Rhinolophus ferrumequinum: one gene and its partners. The protein of the gene in region 2 purifies or fractionates together with the protein of the main gene of each other region. This does not show direct contact. Links are inferred from orthologs where the notes say so. Each region holds a gene or a part of one and is shown on either strand. Other genes may lie near its edges.

What was found.
Region 1: the proteins of TRIM47 (region 2) and FBP1 purify together in Homo sapiens (affinity purification with western blotting; 3 studies listed by BioGRID). This does not show direct contact. The link is inferred for Rhinolophus ferrumequinum from reciprocal best matches to the Homo sapiens genes TRIM47 and FBP1.
Region 3: the proteins of TRIM47 (region 2) and PPM1A purify together in Homo sapiens (affinity purification with western blotting; 3 studies listed by BioGRID, with this or other methods). This does not show direct contact. The link is inferred for Rhinolophus ferrumequinum from reciprocal best matches to the Homo sapiens genes TRIM47 and PPM1A.

Annotation. Positions count from the first base shown.
Region 1 is NC_046295.1:7,046,281-7,054,049, reverse strand, and holds the start of FBP1 (fructose-1,6-bisphosphatase 1), read left to right. Parts: upstream 1-4,682; 5' UTR 4,683-4,855; coding exon 4,856-5,025; intron 5,026-7,769. UniProt on the Homo sapiens protein: Catalyzes the hydrolysis of fructose 1,6-bisphosphate to fructose 6-phosphate in the presence of divalent cations, acting as a rate-limiting enzyme in gluconeogenesis. Plays a role in regulating glucose sensing and insulin secretion of pancreatic beta-cells.
Region 2 is NC_046304.1:50,720,850-50,728,253, forward strand, and holds the start of TRIM47 (E3 ubiquitin-protein ligase TRIM47), read right to left. Parts: upstream 3,084-7,404; 5' UTR 3,057-3,083; intron 2,951-3,056; exon of another isoform or gene 2,901-2,950; 5' UTR 2,624-2,900; coding exon 1,943-2,623; intron 940-1,942; coding exon 844-939; intron 504-843; coding exon 273-503; intron 94-272; coding exon 1-93. UniProt on the Homo sapiens protein: E3 ubiquitin-protein ligase that mediates the ubiquitination and proteasomal degradation of CYLD.
Region 3 is NC_046289.1:34,559,820-34,567,540, reverse strand, and holds the start of PPM1A (protein phosphatase 1A), read left to right. Parts: upstream 1-4,666; 5' UTR 4,667-4,784; intron 4,785-5,502; exon of another isoform or gene 5,503-5,902; intron 5,903-6,621; exon of another isoform or gene 6,622-6,712; intron 6,713-7,721. UniProt on the Homo sapiens protein: Enzyme with a broad specificity. Negatively regulates TGF-beta signaling through dephosphorylating SMAD2 and SMAD3, resulting in their dissociation from SMAD4, nuclear export of the SMADs and termination of the TGF-beta-mediated signaling.

The DNA of each region.
Region 1 (7,769 bases), on a different chromosome or scaffold from region 2:
AGATGCACAGACAGAACCCTGCCTCTCACCCCAGTTCTAGTCTTCTTGGCTTATTATAGTGGATGCTGTGACATGCCACCTAGTTCCTCACCACAGGCGAAGAACCTGTTCTCCAGCTCCTGGGACTATTGCTTTGCAGAAGAGAGCCACCTAGTCCATGGCATGCCCCTTCTCAGGGCAGCCTGTAGCTAGTGACTGGTTGGCATGTGGATATAAGCTCTGTCCCCCTGGCTCCAACTCAGGACAATTCTGAAGGGTTGTCCCAGCTTCAGAGATCCCAGCAGGGCTGGCTGAGCCCTTTGTTACCACCGAACCATGACTCAACATCCCCCTCTGCCCCATCCTGCTGCTGCAATAATCAGCCTGTTCCCAGTATTATCAGCAGGAGTAAGAAAAAAAATTAATTTTTTAGGTAGGAGAATGGACCATTGCAACATGGGGTGGAGCAGATGGAGGAGAGCAGGAGTCATAGAAATAGAACAGGGAGTGGCAAGAAGTCAACAGGTCCAAAGCAAGAGGGGAAAAACTTTTAAAACCTTGCCACATGAGGAACAGTTAAAGGAAGTGAAAGTATTTAGTGGAGAAGTAAACATTTATGAGAAATATGACAGCAGCCTTCACATACTGAATAGACAATCAAGTAAAAGCTGGATTAAACTCGTTCTACTGGGTCTCCCCTCTTCTGCTTTGATCCCCTACAGTCCATTCTCACACGTTTAGATCAGGTCATATTACTCTCCAGCCTAACATCGCCTAGTGGCTTTTCACTACACTGTGAAGAGAAACTGAGTGTCTTGCTATGATGTGCAAGGTCTTTCCTAATCTGGGCCTTGCCTTCCTTCCCAACTTCATCTCTTATGGCTCTTTCCTCATCCATCCTTCTAGCCACACTGGCCATCTTCTTGCTATTCCTTGAATATATCAGCTCATTGCTACCTCAGGGCCTTTGCACTTGCTGCTCTCTTTGCTTTGTCTTCTATATGTTCTTCTATGAGCTCTTCACTTGTCCCATTCCTTTTGTCTTATATCAGAGGTCATTTCCTAAGAAATCTTCTCCTGATTAGTTTCTACCTCAATGCCCTGTTTTATGTTCTTCGTAGCAATCTTTGTTCCCTGAAATGGTTTTGTATCTTTGTTTTATTATGTGATTCTGTTTCCTAATTATCTCTCTCACAAAGAATGTAAGCCTCACGTGGACAGAGATGTGTCTGTCTTGTATACAGGCTCAGCCAGCCCTGCCAGAACCTCTGAAGCTGAGATTACCCTTCAGGGTTGTCCTGAGTTGGGGCAAAGAAGCCAGGACTTACATCCCTCTGTCATAACCTCAGCACGTGATATGATTTTGGCACAGAGCAGGTGCTCAATAACTATTTGTTGAGTGAAAGAATGAATGAACACAGGCTTAAGAAGTAGCCCTAGAGTTAATGGGTGACAATTCAGAGAGCATATTTTTTTTTTTTGAAGCTGCTGTCAGCAGGCTCAGAGCCTCACCATGGAGGCCACTGCCACCCAGCAGGGAACCAGCAGGCTGGTGGCAATGTGGGGATTGGAATCAGACTAGGATCTGAGTCTTGGCTCTGCCACTTCCTGGCTGGCCACAGGCCTGGGACAAGTTCTTTGACCTTCCAAAGCCTTAGTTCCTTCATTGGTAAAGACAGGAGCATGAGTACACCACGTCATTGGGTGCTGGGTTGGTTAACCTTTTCACTGTGTTAATTCATTACAAGTTTGTTCTCCAAAATGTGTCAAAAATCCACAGAAAATAACTACAATATTTATATTTTTAAGTAATACAGTTAAGGTGCTACATTTTATTAAAATAAATGATTATTTTAAAATGCAAAAATTTCTTATTGTTATTCATTCTTGAAAAACACAAAAATATAGAAAAATGTACATCTGCTTTCCTAAACTTCCTTTCTGGAACCCTGAGCTCGTGTGGGAAAGTCGAATGCCATAGTTAGCGGCATGGAAATATCATTTGACTATAGACGAACGTCGCAGCGAAAATGTTTTAAAGCAAGTGCTGGACATTGAACAAGTGCTAAATAGGTGTTAGCTCTACAGCTTGGCTGTTTAGTTTCTGCTGCTTAAGAGATGACAGGTCCTATCTCCATTACTGGCAAGGGGCCACTGAGGCCACAGGAGCTGGGGACTCACCTAAGAAAGTGCCGCTACCGTCCCTCTTTGAACAGCCACTTGGTACCTCTTTCCCTGTCACACTCACTAACTACTAACTGCCCTCTTGGGGGGCGGGGGGGGGGAGTAAGCAGAAGTGACCTGGGTTCAGGGGTGGGAGTGGGGAGGTGAGTGATCATTCAGACTTACTTCTCAACTTCCTGTCTCTGACACAAACCAGAGCTGATCTCCTGGGGTCAGAGCCCAGTGAGGAAAAGGTGGTCATTATTTCTTCGCAGGACAGAGCTGTTACAAAATGGGTAATATTGCACACAGTACTCAAAATCTGCACTATTGTGTGAATTGGAGTGTGTTTTGTGATGAGAGAGGAGGGGAAATATTGTAGCCAGCAAGGAGCAACTGTGCAGTGGGGATGGGTGGAGGTGGGAGGGAGAAATCCCATGTGTGGAGGTGCCCGCCTTCCTCTGGTCCAGCATCTTCCTCCCTGTCTGGCTAATCCCAGGTGATGGGTTTATGCATTTTGACCCTGAGAAGAGCTAGTCACAATCACTGTACATGATGGAGGAGACATAATTGCACCACAGGTAAATACAGGTAGAGGCTATCCATGCCCATGCCCCTTCAGCCCCTTTCTGATGGTAAGAGAGCTTTCTTCTGTTCAGATAAAAATAACAGTCGACACTACCCATATAATGGAGGAAACACTTACGTAGAATGTACTGGCCTCGGTTCTTAAACAATTCATGTGCATCGCTTGTGTAATCCCATGAGGTGGCCACAATTTTTAGCCCCGATTCACAGATGAGTAAAATGTTGCCCAGCAGGGTCAGTAACTTGCACAGACTCACACCCCAGTGAGGGACAAGGCCAGGACTCTAAACCAGGATTTCTAGTTGCAGGGTCTCTGCACTTGACCAGCACTGTGAAGTGACCTATTCCTAAAGGGACGGTTTGCCTTGTGGGTACTGGGCTCCCCATCCCGGTGGGTGACAGGCATCAGTAATTAAGCCAGACGGAGGTGACAGGCATCAATTACTAAACTAGACAGAGGTCTGTTCCTTGTATCTGGTGTGTCCTCTGTGTCAGGCTCAGAGCTGAGCACTTTGCCAAAGTCATCTCATGTCATGCTCATGCCACCTCTGCCAGCTAGAACAATAATCCCACTTATGGATGAATAAACTGGGATTCGGGAGATTGTGGAACGACTGAGGTCTCTAGGCTTCTGAGGGCTGAAGCAGGGAATCTAGCACGCCTGCTCAATCCCAATCTTGAGCTCTTCACGTCTTACCAGGGATGATTTCCAAGGGATTAAACTTCAGGAGGGCAGAGGTGGACTAGTCAACTGTTACAGTGCTGGCTGATCTGAGATCCCGAGGGACTAAATGTCTGACACATAAAGGGGCAAACTCTTGAAAAGAGCTGCTGTAACTAGTTGCTAGGCCAAAAATACAAGTCATTACATTTCAGATTTTATAGTTAAGGAAATATTTCTCTTCCAAGGCTTCCTTCCAACTGTGGCCTCCTGCCCCTGTCCCAGCCCCCTGCCCTCTGTTCTATCCATCCCTGCTTGGCCTGTCAACTGGCTTTTCTGGCAAACCGAAGAAGAGAATTTCCCTGTCCCTCACCTGTCTGATGGTCCATGTCTGGATCCTTAGTTCAGGCCTCTTCTCAAGATTCCTATAATTCGAGAGCTCCTGGGAGACCTTAGTTTCCAATATGTGCATTTTACAGAGAAAACAGTGTCAGCAGACACAGGGAAATATCTCCAAGATTCTACACTGAGGCCAGAAGCTCAGTATCCCGTTTCCTGACCATCATTTTGTGGCCACAATGCTGTTGTCCTAAGGCAGTTCAGGCACTGATTCATGGAACACATTTATTGAGCACCTACTATGTGCCAGGCACTGTCCTATGCACTGGGGATAGAGCCTGAACAAAATAGATAAAACACCTGACTTCTTTGCTGTAGATGGGGCCAGCGATATGAGACCTGAAAACTGAGGACTGGATTCAGTCACGGGGACCTGGCTGGTGTGTTGATGCTGGTTCCCAGGGTTGTCAGATGGGGACCTCTGGATGAAGGCAGGTGGTGGTACTACCAGGAAAAACGGCTACTGTCTCTTCATAGCCCAAGGAGACATTGATACCACTGCAGAGAGAGCAGACCTTTTAACGGTCCACTTAACTGTCAGTGACCAGCTGTGCTACGCTGAAGTTCTGTAACCTTCAAGACTTCCGTTTTATGTTGGGGGGGGAATGGTGAACTCTCTCCGTGACAGGTCGTTGCAGGGACTGAAAGTGGTAACGCAAGTGGCCCACAGCAACGTCCACAATGCCAGTGGTCGTCTTCAGCGGGCGCGGAGGCTGGTTGGGCAACAGCGAAGGAAGTGGAGGTGGTGGCGAGGGCCAGAGGTGGGGACAGCGAGGCTGGAGGAGGAAGGAAGATGAGAAAAAGTTCCGGACGTCCTGTGGATGGAGCGGGCCAGGCGCCAAGTTGGAGGGGGCGGGGCCGGCGCGGAGGTGTTCCCGAGGCGGGGACCTTGACCCGGCGCCTATAGGCTCCCCCCAGGACACACCGGCGGGGACTTGTCTTGGGCCAGTCACTCTCCGAGCAGTGCGATTCCGCCGCAGTGATCTGTGCTCCCACCGAGTGCGCGGTGTCCTGCCTCGTCCCTGCCTGCACCTGCCGCCCAGCGCGCAGCAGCCCGGCCCCAGCATGACGGACCACGCGGCCTTCGATACAAATATCGTTACCCTGACCCGCTTCGTCATGGAGGAGGGCAGGAAGGCCCGCGGCACCGGCGAGATGACCCAGCTGCTCAACTCGCTCTGTACCGCGGTCAAAGCCATCTCCACGGCCGTGCGCAAGGCTGGCATCGCGAACCTGTGAGTCAGGCCTCAGACAGCCAAGTCTCATCCTGTCTGTCTGTCCCGCTGGGGATGTGACTGGCAGCCTGGTGCCTGGTCCTCTGGCACTCCTGCTGTCAGCCTGTCTGTGACAGCTGAGAGTCTCTCCCTTCCTCCCTTTCTCCTCTCTCTCTCTCTCTCTCTCTCTCTCTCTCTCTCACAGGTTTGCCCAACTGCACTCAAGCCTCTCTCTTAAACTTGGAGGTGCCCACCGCCTGGGGGGCCTGTCTTCCTGTCCACCCTGCCTCCATCCTGCAGCTCGCTCCCCGGGGCTTAGCAGCATGCCTTGGCATCTCTCTCAGTCTCCTGGTGAAGCTGTCTGGTGAGGTGGGTACCTGCCCGCTGGCCATACCCATCCTAGCCTCACACAAAAAGTGCTGGCGCAGTGCCTTCTTTTCTCTTTCTTTTTTTTGACCTCCTCCATTCTCTATGAAATTGGGGTTCCAGGTAGAGTTTCTAATCTAGTATGTCCTTCGGCATAAATAAATCTGTTAGGAGCCAGGGAGCTCCCAGGCAGGCTGAAAGGAAGCCTGCACTCCCAGAGCTCTCAGGAGCAGCAGTGCTCTGTGCAAAGGGTGCAGTAGGTCTGGTGGGGCCTGAGACAATGCATTTCTAAGAAGTTCTTCTGTGGTAGGTGGAACCCATGCTGCAGGTTTGCAGATCACCTTGTATGTAGCAGAGGAATCACGGGACATGGGGATTCAAAGGGCATATTCTTGTGAGGCCTTTGTAAGCAACACAAATACCCTTTGATTTATTCTGGTGTGCACAAGGGTTTTGTAGTTATTTGGTCTTCACTTTAGCTGCAGGGTACCTGGATTTTCAGGTTGCCCCTATTTTTTCCTAACATTTCCCATTCAGGGACACTATAAAAATTGCACATGATGCTTATAGCTGATCTGAAAAATTATAACCTCTGCAATCTGGCTTCCTTTACTGGTAAGTTATTTGGCTCTGGTCCCACAGCACGGGTTGATGGAGTTGACTCTTAAAGAAGGAGTGTCCAGCAGGGGGTAGGCCTGGCTGGAAGAGGCATTGAAACAGGTATGTTAGGAACCTGGTGACTCCATCACTATTTCACCTATGGCGCCTCTTAATAATACATTTCTAAGAAGCCATTGCTTTAGGAAACACACTCAGTTAAACTCTTACTTCACATTTAATTTACAACAAGTAGAGGTGGCCTCACAGCTTTGCCTGTGTCTGGGAACCAGAGGGCTTTTAAAATAAAGAGCGCTTGTCACTTCCTGTATTATTTTTAAAATGTGTCAGTACCTTTCACAACTCCAAAGAAACTTGGAAATGACAGATCTGCTTTGAGGTGTATGTTTCCCACCTTTTAAGAAACCTCAGCGCCTTAGTGGGACTGTGGGACCCTTAGTGATCGTGGGACCTGGACAAAGGGCACTAGCATTGGCGATGTAAAATACGTATCTCTGTAGACTAGATAGTTGTGAATGCCAGGTTTAAAAAATATTATTGTTGTTATCATTGTAAACTGCTTAATAAGTTGTACTCATTGATGAAAATTCAAGGCACTCAAAAGAGCACAAAGGGAAAGGTGAAACTCACCTCTATCCATTCCCTGGATAGAGGGAATGATGTAGGAATATTTTCCTGTGAGTCCCCAAAAGAAGGAGGACTATGTCTTTGTGAATCCCCAAATGATGTAGATGATGTTGGATCTGCTGGCAGTTTCTGGGTGTAGGCCGGGATCGTGTCTCATGAGAATGGAAACACAGACCCAGGAGAGGCAAAGAGTTTTAAAAAGAGGATGGTTTATTGAAAACAAAGAGTCAGAGCTCCGGAGCGGGAGGGGGACCCGAATAGGGGTGCCCCGTGACTGAGGCAAGTGCTCTTACTTTTATACCTTCCCTTGTCTGCTTGGGGAAGGGGGACTGGTGCTTTCTAATGAAATTCGTCTACCAGGTTTGCTCTGCTTGCCCAGCCTGAAGGAATTAGCAAAATAACCCTCTCTTATCTCTCAGATCTCCTCTGTTTGTCAGGCCAAAAGGAATTTTATGATTAACTTCAAGGCCTTGTTACATTTTGTCCTGGAGTGAAGGAGCGGTTTCAAAACCTGGAGTTTCAGGATATGGCTGTCTTTGTTTATTCCACCAGGGAACTCCCTGTCTACCTAGGGACATGCTAGCTTACCTGTCTCACTGCCTGAGTACTTGACTGGTTACTGAGTACTTGACTGCGTACTTGACTGGTAAGTTTATACATGGATATGTATTGACATATGTTCATATGTAAATAGCAAACAAAATGGGATCACACTTAACATATTCTTCTGCAGTTTTTTTTCATGCAACCATATATAATGACCATCCTTTAATGTCAGAACATGTAAATCCACCTCCTTTGTTTTCACTGCTGCCTAGTGTTCCACTGCACGGACATATTGCAAGCTGTTTTACTCTTCCCCTATGTTAGCACATTTCACACAGCGTGTACTCGTGGAACACGCCTGGTCATGTGGGCTGGTGGTGGGGAGGACCAGAACTCAGACACTTAAATACTTAAGCACTCCTGTGGGAAAATAAGAGTTTGGCTGTCTCAGCATGACATACAGCTGGAGTGGCAGCAATAAGACAAGATCTCAAGTCAGGGCTCCAAATTACATTCATTATTGGCTTTGATGTCCTCCATGCAAAGGCTAGCATGCCTGCAAATAGCTTGTTAGTGCTGAAGACTTCCCCTAGAGCGTCATGTACCCA
Region 2 (7,404 bases):
AGCTTGGGCTGACTTAGTGAAGCTGAGCTCCCTCGGGGGAGTGGGCCCAGGGCTGCACCCCTCCTCCAGGGCCAGCCTGAGCGCCAGGAGCTCCTGTGCCAGATAAATGCCCAGTAAGGCCCTGCTGGCCATACCTCCTCTCAGCTGGGGGGAGACAGCTCTGCCAGGAACTGTCTGGTTCCACTGTCTTCTCCTCCCTCTGCTTCCTGCCTAGCCCCCACCCCACCCCACCCCACATGCTCTCCCTCTCTGCTCCGAAGAGCTGCTCTCACCTGTAGGAAGCTGACTGAGTCGGCCTCAGGGACCCGACTGAGGTTGTGGCGGGCCTGGCTTAGCCTGCTGCGCTGTTCCTCCTGCTTCCGCAGGTCGCCCTGGGAGCGGCCCAGCATGGTGGCCTCCCCCTCATCGATGAAGCCCAGCACCTCCTCCTGGAACCCTTGCAGGGTGGCTGCAGCCTCCGCAAACAGCCTGCTCACCCTCTCCCGTTCTGCCACGGCTGCGCTCTGCACAGGACGACAGTGGGGACAGCAGTGAGGGCAAAGAACATCACTGTTTGGGCCCCATCCTTCCCAGACCCCACTTTCCCAATCTGCCCTGTTGGGGAGACAGAGAGTCCAGCTCGAGCTGCCCTGGGTCTATGTCAAGTCAGGGGAGAGGCTCAGGCTCAGTGGGCCGGGCAATGCCCTGAGCACAGGCTTCCTTGGACTGGACTGGATCACGACACTGCCAGGAGCCTATGGCAGGAGGGGGCAGGGTTAGGGTGTGGTCTGCCCCCGATGAGGGCCACTGTACTGACCTTGATGAGGCCACTGTACTGACCTTTCTGAGGGCCACTGTACTGACCTTGATGAGGGCCACCGTACGCCGGGACTGTGCAATGCGGGCGCCCAGCTCGTCCATGCGTTCCTCCACAGCACTCAGAACTTTGGGCTGCTCAGCCTGTGGATGACACCCTTCATGAGGACAGGGTCTGGCAGAGGCTACAGCCCTGCACTGGGGTCCCAGGCCTCACCAAGGGGTGGGAGAGAGTGAGCCAGGAATGGTATCTATGCACAGGTGGGACTGGGAGTGGCCATGATGTCCCCATTATGCCAGCGGTTCCTCAAGCCCAGGCTGGTGCCATTCCCAAATGCCCAGAGAGAATGCAGGCTGGCTGTGGGTTGTCCACCTCCCTTCTCTGACCAGTGGACCAGTACAGGGCCATCCACGGTCCTCAGTGTTGCTCACATTCATCTGGGAACTTCCATCAGAAGGGAAGAGGCACAGAATGAGAGGGGCTGCACAAGAGGCAATCAGCTGATCTGGGGATCTCTGTCCCCAAAGACTCTGTGCCCCCAATCCAGGCTTGAAAAATGGGGATTCCGGGCAAACCCCCTGGGTCTTATGAGTCACCGCTCCAGGCAGGAGAGACGGAAAATCCCAAGGCTGAGGCGCCAAGACTGGGCGGGAGGCCAAAGGAAACTGGGGGAGGAGGCAGCCCGCCCAACTGCGCGCATATGCTCTAACCACGGCCCCCCGGAACAGCTGGACAGAGCGGTCTGTGTGCTCAGCCGCGCTCAAGTGGCCTGCCACACCCATCTAAACCGCCTGCCTCAGGCCTGGGCACATCTGAGCTGGGACCCGCATGAGCCCGGCAGGCGCATCAGCCACGCTGCAAGTACCAGACGCCCAAGATCCTGGCTCCTTGCTGCCTTAGATCCGCACCGCCCGCTGGGGCTTCAGGTCCCTTGCCCGCCCTTCGGGTCCTTTTTGTGTTCTCACTGGGTCCCCCTAACCCCCTATCCCATCTTAAGCGGAATGACATTGTCAGGGCTGGAAGGGACAGGAATGATCCTCAAGTTAGAGGAGGAAGTTAAGACCCAACCCGGGAAGGTCCATGACCCTGGGCGGGCTCGAGCGGCGTGTCACCCGCCCCGGCCGGCCCGCACTCCCTGAGCCCTACCTCCTGGAGCGTGCGCTCCTGCTCCAGCGATACCAGCTCGTGGCCCCGGTGCTCCTGGGCAGCGCAGGCCTCGCACAGGCACACGCGCTCCGCACGGCAGTAGCGCTCGAGCGGCCGCAGGTGGCGTGGGCACAGGCTCTCCTCCAGCCGACGCAGCGGCGGCACCAGGCGATGGCCGCGTAACGCGGGACTGCGCTCGTGCGGGCCCAGGTGCGCGGGGCAGAAGGAGGCGAGGCAGGAGAGGCAGGAGAGCGCAGCGGGCAGCGCGGCACCCTCGGGGCACGCGTCGCAGCGCACCGGCTCTTCACCCGCCGGCCACGGCTCGGGTGCGCAGGGAGCCGACGGCTCCGGGGCGCTGGGCGGAGCGCTGGGCGCTGCGGGCTCGGGAGCCGGGGACGGGGCCCGGGCCGAGCCGGGCCCGGGCCCGGGCCCGGAGCCCTGGCGGAGCTGCAGCAGCTCGGACAGCGTGTGGTTCTTGCGGAGCTGCAGGCCGTCGGGGAAGGGCTCCTGGCACAGCGGGCAGCGGGCCGCGCCTCCGGGCCCGCCGGCGCCACCCGCGCCGCGGTGCGGCCAGAGCGTGCCCAGGCAGGCGAGGCAGAAGTTGTGGCCGCAGGGCAGCGTCACCGGCTCCCGCAGCGACTCCAGGCAGATGGGGCAGCTGAAGGGTCCGCTGCCGTCCATGGCTCCGCGGCCACCCGGGCACCGCCTGTTCTGCTCCCGCCTGGGCGGGACCCGGAGCGTTCCCACCACGGCGCCGCCCCCTGGGACCGAGGCCAAGGGTCCGGCCTCCGTCTGTCCACGGCTCGGACCGCCCCCCCAGCGCCACAGGCCTGCCCGGCGGTCCCGACACCCGGCCCCAGCTCAGTCCGTTCCGGGCCTCCTCTGGGCCCCGCCGGATTCCGAGCGGCTCCTGGGCGATGGTCCCTCCTGGGTCAGCGGGTGTGAGGGGAGGGCTCTGCTGAAAGGGGTGTGAGAGAGGGAGGAAGGCAGAGAATGCGAAGGAGGACACACTGGAAGGACCGTGGGACGGAGTTCATCCCTCTGTTACCCCTCCAACCCTCCCCCACCCATGGCCAGGCCTGGGGATCCCAAGGCCACTGTGTCAAGCCAGTACCTTCGTCCTGCAGACTTCTCTGCGCCGTTAGAAAAGCTCCTGAGCTGCTGAGTGCAGAGAAAAATAACTGCTGATGTAGGCATGTGTTTGCCCCTTAGCACTCTGTTTACCCCGAGTGGGGAACTTGGACTTTTCTAAACCTGAAACGGGAAGTTGATGTCACCCTCCAAGTCTCTGGTCCGAGGAGTTCAGTTCCAGGCCGTGCACCCTCATGGGCACCTATGGTGTGCCTGGCGCCCGGGGTGGAGGTTGCCTCAGTGGAGGCATTTGTTAAGACTCATCTTACTATGCACTTAAAAAGCTGCATTTTAATCCGTTAGTCCATGCTGATCTAAATAAGTGACTGGATAAATAAATACTGGAGGAGAATAGACACATTTCCCATTCAGAAAAATTGCAAATAATTTTTGTAGATACTCCGAGGTGGCAGATAACCTCCCACTCTTTAAGTGTGTGGGCTGTGCATAGTAACTTTCTTCCAAAGGGAGCAACAGAGTAACTTTACAGGGGAGAAATCTGACAAATACTACCTCAGCCAGGTGACCGAGGTCAACATCAACAATGGTATGTCCTATTGGTAGTAAGCTCCCTTGAGATGATGTGGTCTTCCTCCTCAAAAACCCATAAACCCATTCCAATTATGACTAAAACATCAGACCGATCCCAGTGGAGGAACAGTCTATAAAACACCTGACCAGTACCTCTGGACACTGTCAAGGTCATCAAAAGCAAGGAAAACCTGAGAAACTCACAGCCAAGAGAAGACTAAGGAGACATGACGACTAAATGTGATGTGTATCCTGGATGGGCTCCTGACAAAGGACATTAAGGAAAAAAGTAAGGAAATTTGAATAAATTACGGAATATACTTACTGAGAATGTATCAATATTGGCTCTTTAATTGTGACAAGCAAGTATACCACATTCATGTACAGTGTTAACAAAAGGGGAAACTGGGAGTGAGGTATATGGAAACTCTGATTATCTTTGCAACTTTTCTATAAATATATAACTATTCTAAAATTAAAACTTTATTTTAAGAATATAGAATAATGGAGGCAAATCTTCCTATCCTGAGGACCACGGACCTCCCGCTGATGAGACCCCAAAGTGGAAAGAATAAAAGGGTGATCCATCTAGAGTTGGGGCTTTACCTTTCTCACCGGGACGCTTCTTGAAGCCTGGTGCAGCCTACAGAAAGAACCCTTTTCAAAGTAATGCTTTTCAATGCATAAAATTAAATGTATAAAATTCCATGGAAACCAATTACATTGAAACACAGGTACAAAATATTAAGGAAACAACTTTGTGATAAAGTGATATATGTGTTTCTTTAACACAATAAATAACAAGATCTGATGGGGGCCTAACAGTAACTGTATTTTTTAAACAGTGATGAACATACATGTTATTTCAAGTTCTCTGTCACCACTGCCACATGCTATGAAAATATCTGTAATTTCTATTGATGACAAGTCACCGGTATTGCTAACACCACTGTGATGTGTCCTCTCCATTCATAATAGAAAGAAATGCTAAATTTCAGCTAGAGAACCATGAAAATGAAGCCAGAATCCAACCCCTACCCCCACCTCCAGAACTCCAGGTTAAGAATGTCTAATTTAGAAAGATGCTATGCAGAGCCTCCTGACATCCTCCCTGGAAGGAGGAAAGAAAACTAAGATCTATTAAGTATTAAAAGAGGTGCAGTCTATTCCTGGGGGATTTGTGGGAAAGGAGGAGAGGAATTTTGGAGGCCCTCGTGGAGGAAGTGGCATGTGAGCTGGGCTTTCGCAGACTGCTAGGACTTAGGCATGCAGAATTGAGGGTGGGAAAGATCTTCGGGCAGAAGGAGTAGCAGAGGGAGATGGCCTGGGTGTGCCTGCTTTGGCAGGAAGGCGGATAATGACTTCCATACGTTGGTTTCCACAAGGAGTACTTGATCATGACCATCCCTTTTGTACCAAGACCCAGTAACAGTTCAGAGGCTCAGGCAAGGGCGCCACCCTACTCCTCAGCTTGGAAGCCAGGCTGCCTGGGCTTGCTGCGACCACAAACCAGCCTGATTCTGGAGGGGGAGGGGTGCCTTTCAGATTAGGGGCTTCTCGGGGAAGTCCCAGCCAACCCTCTGCTTCCCACCTCACATCCTGTTCAGGAAGATCTGCTCCCACAGGAAAGATTGCAATTCATCAGAATGGTGGCATTTTGATAGTTCATGTCCATTATCATAGCTTTAAAGTTGTTCCCATTAATTCTTTTTTAAATGAATTGGGTCTCGAGGGGTTAGCGTAACTGGCATTTCTGAGTTCTGCTGGAGCATGTTCATGCTTGCATCTCACTCTGCCCTTGCAAGGACTGTGTTGTGAAGGGTAGGAAATGGAATTCCGACAGGTCTCATATCTTGCCGGAGGTCACATAACTAGTCCTGCAGAGGAGGAAGAATTTAAACCCAGAAAGTGCAACCTGAAAATAATCCTAAACCTCATATATGACCCTGTCTGACTGCAGTTTTGCTTAATTAAGACAAAAAGTTATACAGAAACAAAAACAAACAAGCAAAAGCACTCCAGCCAATGAGAGTAATTGACAAGCCATCAAAGCTTTGCTTGCATCTCTGAAAGACACTGAAACAGGACCTGAGCCGTAACCCACGGCAGCACTTCTTTTTCTTTATGCTTTTATTTATTTATTTTTTTCTTTATTTTTTTTTTATGCTTTTAATGTACTTTTAAAAATTGGATTTGTATTTATTTCAAAATATTTAGAGTATTTAAAAAGTAAACAATTTAATGGCTTACAGTAATATAAACTGACAGTCCCGTGTCCCACCTACTCCAGATTGTTGCTCCCACAGACAACCAGTCTCAGCTCTTAACTGTTTCTATCAGCTGTTATCTCCACATCTCTAAAGCATGTGCTCAGGAGCTTTGAACCTCTGTGTGGATGTTGTGCTTGTATTTCTGGAGATTTAGATTCTTTATCAACTCTCTTTTGTGTTGAATTCTATTGCTTGGTTCCTGGGTCTTCTTTCCCTTCACTGATTTACTTCTTAATTTTTGAAAAGCCCTTTTTCTGGGAACTTCTGGAGAATGGATGTGGACGTGCCTGCAAAAGTCTTTGTTCAGGCTTCATCCTTGATTGACAGCTTTGGCTGGGTATGGGATTCTAGAATGGAAATCCTTTTCCCACAGAATCTCAAAGGCCTGGCTCCATTGTCTTCTAGCTTCCATTCCCATGTTACTTGAAACCATGTTTCCTGCAGTTGCCAGGCTGCTCCCTTCCTTCCTTTCCTGCCTGGGAAAGAGTAGCCTCTCCTCTCCACCCTCAACTCTGGCCTCCAACCCAGCTCCCACCAACCTAAGGCCCTTTTCTTTTAAAATCTCTCCTGGTCTCCCCTATCCTTGCTCTGTGTGCCCATTCTCACAGAAGCCCAGAAAATGGGGGTTGGGGGGCCAGAAATGCTGGGAATACCCACAGGCTATTCAAATGGTACACTCTGAAGTCCATACCTTTTCCTTCTATATCAATGCATTTTTTCCTGGAGAGGAGATGGAGAATTCTGTCAGAATCAAGTGGGCTGAGTGAATTTAATGTGAAGTACCTTTCTGAGAGATTTGTAACTGCTTGTCCCCCCACCTAGAGAAGCATTGTTCCATTGCACATGCCATAAAATGGCAGTAGCATCTCATCATATGAAATAAAGGTTAATAGTCACAATACAGAACATGCCACAGAACAACATGCAAAGGACCAACAACTTGAAAAAAAGTAAATTCATAGAATAAATGACCCAAAACGCTTCTCACCATGGACACAGAAAGGGGGCCAGTCTTCCTTTCTCTGTCCCTTTCAGAGCGTGGGCTCAGCCAGCTGGACACACATTGGGTCTTTGGGATCAGGAGGGATGGTTGGAATCTGTATGCTGGGGCAGCCAGCGATGATGGCCAGCTGGCTAGCCCAATCCTGCTTCCTGCCCCGCTGGGCTTTTGGCTCCTGCCCTTGACCCAGCTGTTCAGCTAGGTCCCGACCATCTCCTATCACTCGGCTGGGCTGCCCAGTGTTAGACCCCCTTCTCATGTTTGGGGAAGTCCTCACCTTAGGAATCTCACTGGAAGCTGCTTGCCCAGGCTGCATCAGTCAGAGGCCTGGCCCTCTCCTTGAACAGAGAGCCACACTACAGAGGAGCAAGGCCACAAGATGGAGTTTGCAACTGTGGCAGTGACCGAGGCCAGGCTGCAGTGTGGGAGGGAGATATATTTTTCACAGATTTAAAAATATTTTGTATTTTTTTGAGTATGTGTTTTTGCATGTTATCCTTCAAAAAACTTTCTATGCGAAATACATGTAT
Region 3 (7,721 bases), on a different chromosome or scaffold from region 2:
ACATAAATGTGTAATCACTATGTTGCACACCTGAAATTAATCTAAAATAATATTGAATGTCAACTGCAATTGAAAAAAAAAATCACTGGAGAACTTTTTTCTCAAATGAATGAATGAATGAATGAATAAATAAATAAATAAAATTATCTTCTCTATAATTCCCATAAATTGGTTCTCATTGTACTCAGCAAAAGACAAAGGGATTTTGTTACCTTTTTTCTCTGATGGAGCTCTAGTTTGTCTAGTTCCTGCAAGAAAATAAAATGCATATTAATATCTCTGTATTTAATTGCTCTAAGCTTAAAATGATTTCATTATTCAGTTATTGCTTTTACCATAAATTATTGCTTTTACTGTTCTTTCTTAAAAGTAACAATCAAGATAAAGATTAAAAGTAAATTTAAGTACTGAACAAATCCCTCAAATATTTAAAGGATAAGATCAGTTCATATCTGACCATGGCAGCTTTTCTGTAGGCAAAGGATCTGTTTTGGTGATTAACTATTTAATTGGAAGTTTACATGATTTAATTTTTTAATAATGGCTGTGTATAACAAATAGCTGACAAATTCCTAAAAATTTAAGTCTGTTCTCATGAGCTAGTACAAGCAAGCTTCATACACCACAACATGCACTTTCCACTCCTTGACTCTCTTTGCTGCTTTTTTACTGGCATGTAAGAGTTAGGAATGATCAGCAGAATACAGGGGAGAACGTGTCATTACTTTTGGTGATTCTGGATAGTTGCTAGCCCTCTGACACTGAGTTTTCTCTTCTGTTAAAGTTGAGAACAACAGTCCTTGCCCTGTCTACCCACAAGAGTTGTTGTATTAAATCGGTTGGCCTATGTGGCAGTGCAGAGCGAGATATAGAAAAAAGCCTTTATGATGATGGTCATTTCATCATTGGTTTTCAACCAGACCACCATTGTTAAGGATGCAAAATGTGTTGCAACTTTCAAAAGTGTGGTTTAGTTTGAGATATTCTTTGATACCCCCATTAGACAGTAAACACCCAGAAAAAAATATGTTCTCAAGAAGTCCAAACTATTGCTAGTCTTTACTCATTAAGAACAGCTATCTATATTGGGGGGGGGGCACATTTTTTTCAAAGCTCATAGTTTACTCAACTCTAGCTGCTGTTGGATTGTCTGAAGAGAACAATGGAGTGGTGGAATGCTTCTTAACTTCAGTAGTTACATAATGGTCCTTTCATTTTTAATTTTTATTTTTCAAGCTGCTTTGCTTTTTGGGCCAGACCAATTCACTATGTTATTTTGAATGGGTTGTGCCCTTCTGCTCAAGGTGGTTTCCTAATTGTAAACTGGATTAAGTATCCCAAATATCCTAAGTTGGAATTCTAAACTTGAGCGACTTTATAAAATATTTGCCTCGAGTTTGTTGAACTTCTCTTTGGTCTATAGACAATTCTATAGACAATTCTTTGGTCTATAGACAGGCTCTTTCCCACATCAAACTTGTGCTGATTGCTTTGCCTGGAAAGCTCTCCTCTGATTCTTCGCAAAGCTGACTCTCATCCTTCACCTCAAATGCTATCTTCTTAGAAAGGTCTCCTCTGAACATTTGTTTCAGGTCATCTCCCTGATCTAGTTCCTTATTTATTTCGTTTACAACACTGATCACAATCAGCAATTTCCTTATTTGTTTATTTCTTTGTCTGTAGCCCTCATTATAACATACATGATATTATAATGCTGGGCCTTTCCCTACTGGTGTCATTATCTACCTTCAGCACCCAGCACAGTACCTGGCACCCAATATAACTCTCTGTTGAACAGATGAACTTGTTTGATAAGAACCATACCAACATTAAGGCTGTGGCCATATACAGTTCTCTTGAGGCAAGAGTCTACCCTAAAGACTCTCCAAGGCTTGGCCTGTGATGCTCGTGGTGACCCACATTTCTCTCAGGGAACAGCGTGAGCCCGAATGGCAGCAGAAGACTGCTGACTTTCTTCTGCCCCATCCTAATGGGGCTGCCTTAGTGATGTCACATAGGACAGGATTCTCTAATCCTTTTCATTCTGTGACAGTCCTTTAGACAGCTAAGTTTTTCATGACTTGATATGGTGTGTGTGTGGGGGGGGGAATGAGGACTGAGGTGGGGGGGATACACCCCCCCCACAACAAAATTAGTTTAAGGGCATTATCCACTCATATGTATTGCTTCAAGAGAAAGTAGGTAGCAGAAACTGTAATTTGGGTTAAGCTAAGGAAAAGAGAGAAAAGAAGAATGGGGAAAAGGGTAAAGAAGATGAAAAGAGACCAGAGGAAAGAACGAAGAGTGATTAAAAGAAAAGGGAGAAGAGGACGGAGGAAGAGGATGTTGGTGAGAAAAAAACATGAAATAGGTAATGATGGAGGAGGAGGAAGACGGGGCCGAATCTATGTTCTGCTTGGCTTTATAACTCTTGGGTAATGACTGGCTTCAGTGTGAAAGGATTGAATGGCTCAGGTTAGGGGGAGTCTCAGGTATTCTCCTGAGGGATCACTTAAATTGCTGAGATTTCTTTTGAGAGGTGTAAGCAAGACTGTCTCAGGGGTAACTCTCTTGGGTGGATTCAGAGTAGTAATTCGGGAATCAGGAATGTTAACCTTTTCTTTAAATCATGATTGTGGAAGAAAAGAGGAGTGAGTATTACTGATGGACTAAGCTTTAGACTTCTCACTGCAGTTCCAATCCTCATCCCACTCCTCCCAATTACTAGGCTAATAGCGTACAGTTAAATTTAGGACTTGAAAGCCAATCTTTCAGAAAATCATCTTTCTCTTTGGTAATTGAAATACCAACAGGTGTCCAAACCAGAGTAAGATAGTTTTAGAATATACCTATAAAAATTATTAAAAACAATTATGGCAGCACATTCCACTGATGTTTCATAAAAACTAAGAACATTGCTAACATGTGTAGGCCAAAGCAAAGCCTTGTAGTTCAAAAAGAAAAGAAAACTTTTAGCTCTCTTTTTCGATGTCCTTTTCCCCCTCTCTACATAGTTAAGTTTTTTGCCCTTAGTATATTATTTAGGGAGTATTTATTATAATATTTAGAGAAAAAATATTTAGTATAGCAATAAAGAAGGGGATATTATAATATCGGGCTTATTTATCCAGACACCATTAAAAATATTTGTCCCCAATTTTAAAATGTTAATCTTATAATCTCTGAGTTTCCTACTTTATACCAAAATGTCCCTGCAAGCTGTATCCAGAAATAAGAAAGAGAGGAAGGTGTAACTTTATCAGTAGTCTGTGGTACACTGTGCAGACTCCTTAAAAATCTCTTTACTTTCATATTTTCTATTTTTCTACCTCTTCTGCTACAATTGACCCAGATTCTTCTACAAGTATAGAGCAGAGAGAAGAAAGGTATGGGTGCCTAATAGAAGGAAGCAGAAAGCCAGGCAAGACCTTCAAGATCAACACCACTACTGCCATTGGCAACCCTAGTTCTGCCTTACGAATAAGAAATTTTGTTTTCTAAGACACTCCAAATAGTGTTTGCCACATGGGCTTTTCTATTTTGGAATGGTAATGAGTCCACTAGCATGCTAATCATGCTGCTACTTGTCTGAAGTATTAAGGATTCCAATAAGGCAGAGTTTCAAAGATCTTTGATCTAATAATGTTCCTTTTTTTTTTTTTTTTTGGCACGTGTGTACAGAAGTAATTAGGAAATGTGTCCTCACATGATACTGGGACCAAATGCAGAAGTGAATTTTGTTTTTACTTTGTATATCTCAAAATGATCTATCTTCATCTTACTGGAAGAAATTCTAACCCAAATATATTATTGGGTAGAGTGATTGTTTTGAGTTCCTTGAAGATTTTGGCCTGCCAGTGACCTTTTGGTGGTAGTTTGTTAGGTCCCAGGGCTAAAAATGAAAGGAACAGAATCTTCCCAAGAATGTCATGTTGAAGAAACTGGAGATGGCTTCTACAAATTTAAAAGCAGCTAAATGTTTGCTGGTGGCAGAAAGACAGAATAAATAGGATGCTTTTGATCTAAGAGCTGGGGCAACAGAGTGGTTTTAGGAGATACAAAGTAGCAGGGTATAATTTGCTACAGTAAGTTCCTGAGATAAAATGGAGAGGCCTTATCATAAATTTAGCTTTTTATTTGTCAGAACACAATTTGGCTAATATTTTCCTGTGTTCTTTTTAAAGTACCTGCCTCCTACAATGAAGTATGTGTTTTTCCTTAGTGTATACCAGATAAATTTTTTTTTAACACGGATTTTTCTTTTAAGTTACGTTCCTGCAAATGTGGTGTAGGTCAAATCCATGAACAGGTTAAGCCTTTGACAAGGGAAAGGCACCCCAGCCAATGGGAACCCGTGCTGGTGATGTACTGCTCCCCAGTTCTGATTCATTGGCCTGCTAGCGTTTGTCATTCTATCCCCGGCGTCTGCAAACCGCGTGGGTCGGGTTTTCCGTAGTCTAGCTAGCTAAACTGGATTTTGGCCTCCTGCACGTGCAGTTTCAATTAGGTTTAGTTGATCTCTAACTTTTCATACAAGTAGCTGTTAATGTTTCTGATTATCCCACAGATTTTGAAAAATCCTCCGTTCCTTTAACCTCACTGGAGGTCGTTGGAGGTCCCCTGTGACAGAATCATGTGACTGTAACAAGTGAAAATAAATACAATGTGGGATGCCACGAGCTACAGCTACACAGAAAACCTGCCAGGAATTCAGCATGTGCCCTGTGCGTGTATGTAGGTGGGCGGCGGCAGGCTGCGTGTGTTGCTGCCCTTCGGGACGCGAGGTGTGTGGCTGGGGCACTTGAGTGGTCCTCCCGAGGTCACTGGGGGAGAATGGCTCTGGAACCGTAGGGGCCCTGGGGGAGGGGGTCTGGCGGCGGCCTGGGACCCAGCGCGCGTTTGAGCTGCAGCAGCCAGGAGGCGAACAGTCCGCGACTGTGCCCGAGAGAAGTGGAAAGAACTGGGTCGGTCCTCGGGGCTCTGTGGAAAGCGTCTCCGCGGGGATTGGGTGTGTATTTGTAGACAGGTGGCAGCGCCGGGACAAGAGACGCGGACGCCCTAGGGGGTGCTTCCGAGCCCTGGCTCGGTAGACTGCAGGGGTTGGAGAGCTCTCCATTCCCCGGGATCCTAACAGTCGCACACTGTCCAGCTCCCGGCGCCGGGGCTCAAGGTCCCAGTCGCGGTTCCGATCCGGGATTTGGATGCTCCCTTCGGCTTCGGCCTGGGGCCCCGGCCGCTAGGCTGCCGAGACGAGAAAAGCTGGGTAGGGCAGTGGCGTCATCTGCGGCCGCTCCTCCCCCGCCAGCCGCCACTCGCCGCAGTTCCTGCCCAACGACATCCGGGTCTCTCCTGCTGCTCCGTCGCGCCTCAGCTGTAGCGGCGGCGAACCCGGAGGGGCGGGGTGGGGCGGGCGGAGGAGTGGGGGTGGGGCAGCACGGCGCCTTCGTGGGCGCGCCTGCGCGGGGACGCGCTCGAGGCGGCGGCGGCGGCGGCGCTGCTAGGGGCGGGAGCGCGCGCGGGAGCGAGGGAGCAGTGGTCTCGGCGCCGGCGGGGCCCGCAGCTTCGGGTGCTCGGGCGGCTGCAGCTCAGGAGCGGGTGGTTGGGGAGGGGGGGTGGGGGGGCTCCAGGCAGGTGGGGCGCGAAAGCAATGAATCTTTGGCTCTTCCTCCTTCTCCTCCGGGACCCGCTCTCCGCCTCCTGTTCCAACGCCTGGATGATCTGAGCCGCGAGGGCGCCGAGAGCGGGGGCCCGGACGCAGCCCGGCTCCTCCCCTCGTCCGCCCCCTCCCCTGCCTGACCTGGCCGGCCGCAGCCGTGGTGACCCCTTTCCCGCCCCCTCCCCGGCCGCCGTCGCCGCCGCCGCCTCGGCCGACCAGGGACCTGCCCGCCCGCGGCTGCTCCGGGTAAGCGCGACGCATGGGCCGAGGGCGGGCGGCCGGCGCGGGCCTGCGCGGCGGCAGTGGCGGCCAGGCCTGGGGCCTGGGGCCTGTAAACAAGCCAGGCGTCTGCCCGAGCGCTCCCGGGAGGAGACGCGACAACTCCACCCCCTGGCCCGGCCTCCTCCCCGGAGCCGGGCGACGGACGGCTAGGGGTTAACGCTCCGCGAGGGCGGTGGCGGGGAGGCGGGGGCGGGGTGTTTGTGCGGCGGCGCGGGGAGGGGGCGCGACCCTCTGGCCGCCTGCGCCGGGTTGGGTGTTGGTGGCGGCGACGCGGACGAGGGCCGCAGGCCGGCCTGGCCCTAGAGCGGCCGGTGGAACTTTTCCCGGGAGGGGAGTGGGCTCCCGGCGCCCCCACCCTCCGGGCCGCGCCTCCCTGCTCTCCAACCCCTGGGAGGGCGACCGGGAGAAAGAAGGGGGGAGGCTTCCTTTGGACCGGACTTAGCCTCGAAATAGCAAATTGTGTAGAATTTGCTTCAGATTTTATAGGGGGCAGAACTGAGAGTGAGACTCCTTGAGAACTCAAGCCAGTGATGCCTCCAATTCATTCATTATTAAGGCATCGAACAAATCCATTGAAGTAAAATCACACTGATTTCTTCGCCTGGTCTTTTTAACCGTGTAAATGTGTGGGTAAAAGTTCTTGATGTTAGTTTCGTTGAAGTATGGTTTTGTTCTGTTTGTAGATTTGAAATAATTTATTGAAAGAGAACTGACTGTGGAGAGCCTTCTACCAACTGCAGTTTTAGATACGTTTTGAAAATTTCACTACCTGAGGTATTTTTCCTTTTCCTCAAGCAACTCATGGTACTTAACAAATCCACAGAGGTCACAACTCCTGCTGTCCAAGCCAGGAAATGTATGCACCGCCCTCACCCCCAATCCTGTTTTCTGCTAATTGGAATAATGAGCCGAATGCCTTTTAAGAAATTATTGGAAGAGTATGGGAGGTGTAAAAAAAAAATCTGTGGGTGATAGGTATTCTTTTCCCAAAGTAAATTATTTTGACATTAAAAGATTAGAAATCTAAAAAATTGTTTTGAAAAAAAGGCTTAATCCTTTCAAACTTGCAAGTTGGGATTTTAAACAACCACTTTTTAGATGCAAAGAGCTCTGAAATGTCAGCGGATTTATTTATTTAAACACTACTGAGTCTTACCGGTTCCAGAGCTCTCAGAAGTCCAGCAGGGCTTGCTCCCCAACTCTAACTAGAACAACCTCACTTTTATAGTTTTATATTTTTACCTAACTGGCCTTTGCCAAAGATTGTATTTCTATAATACACATTAGAATACTGACTAGGAAGATAGTGACCCACCCTACGGTCTGTTTTCTAATCATAGATGTTAACTTTATGGATTTAATGTTTCCTTTGCTAGCAAATAATTTGAAGCACAAAGTAACATTCCTTGCCTGATGTCACAGTTCTGTTCTGATGTGTAATTCCCATATATCTGATTAAACATCCAATCATGTAGTGATGATTACTTTTAACTTGCAAGTTAGAACAATTCTGCATCAAAACTATAATGAACTGCCCATGGAAGTTGCTTAAGACATTTTTTTATTTAATATAATTAAACATTTTTCACATCAGTGAAGTCATTATGGGCTAGGTATATTAAGACTGGTAAAGTTTGGCTAGCTACCGTAGTATATGTTTGAGAAATAACATGGTTGAATGCTGCAGTCAGCAAATTTTTTTTTACGTGTGTGTGTGTGTATTTTAACACGGATTGTATCTGTTTATATTTTAGTTTGAAGGGCTGAAGTGATGACCATAATT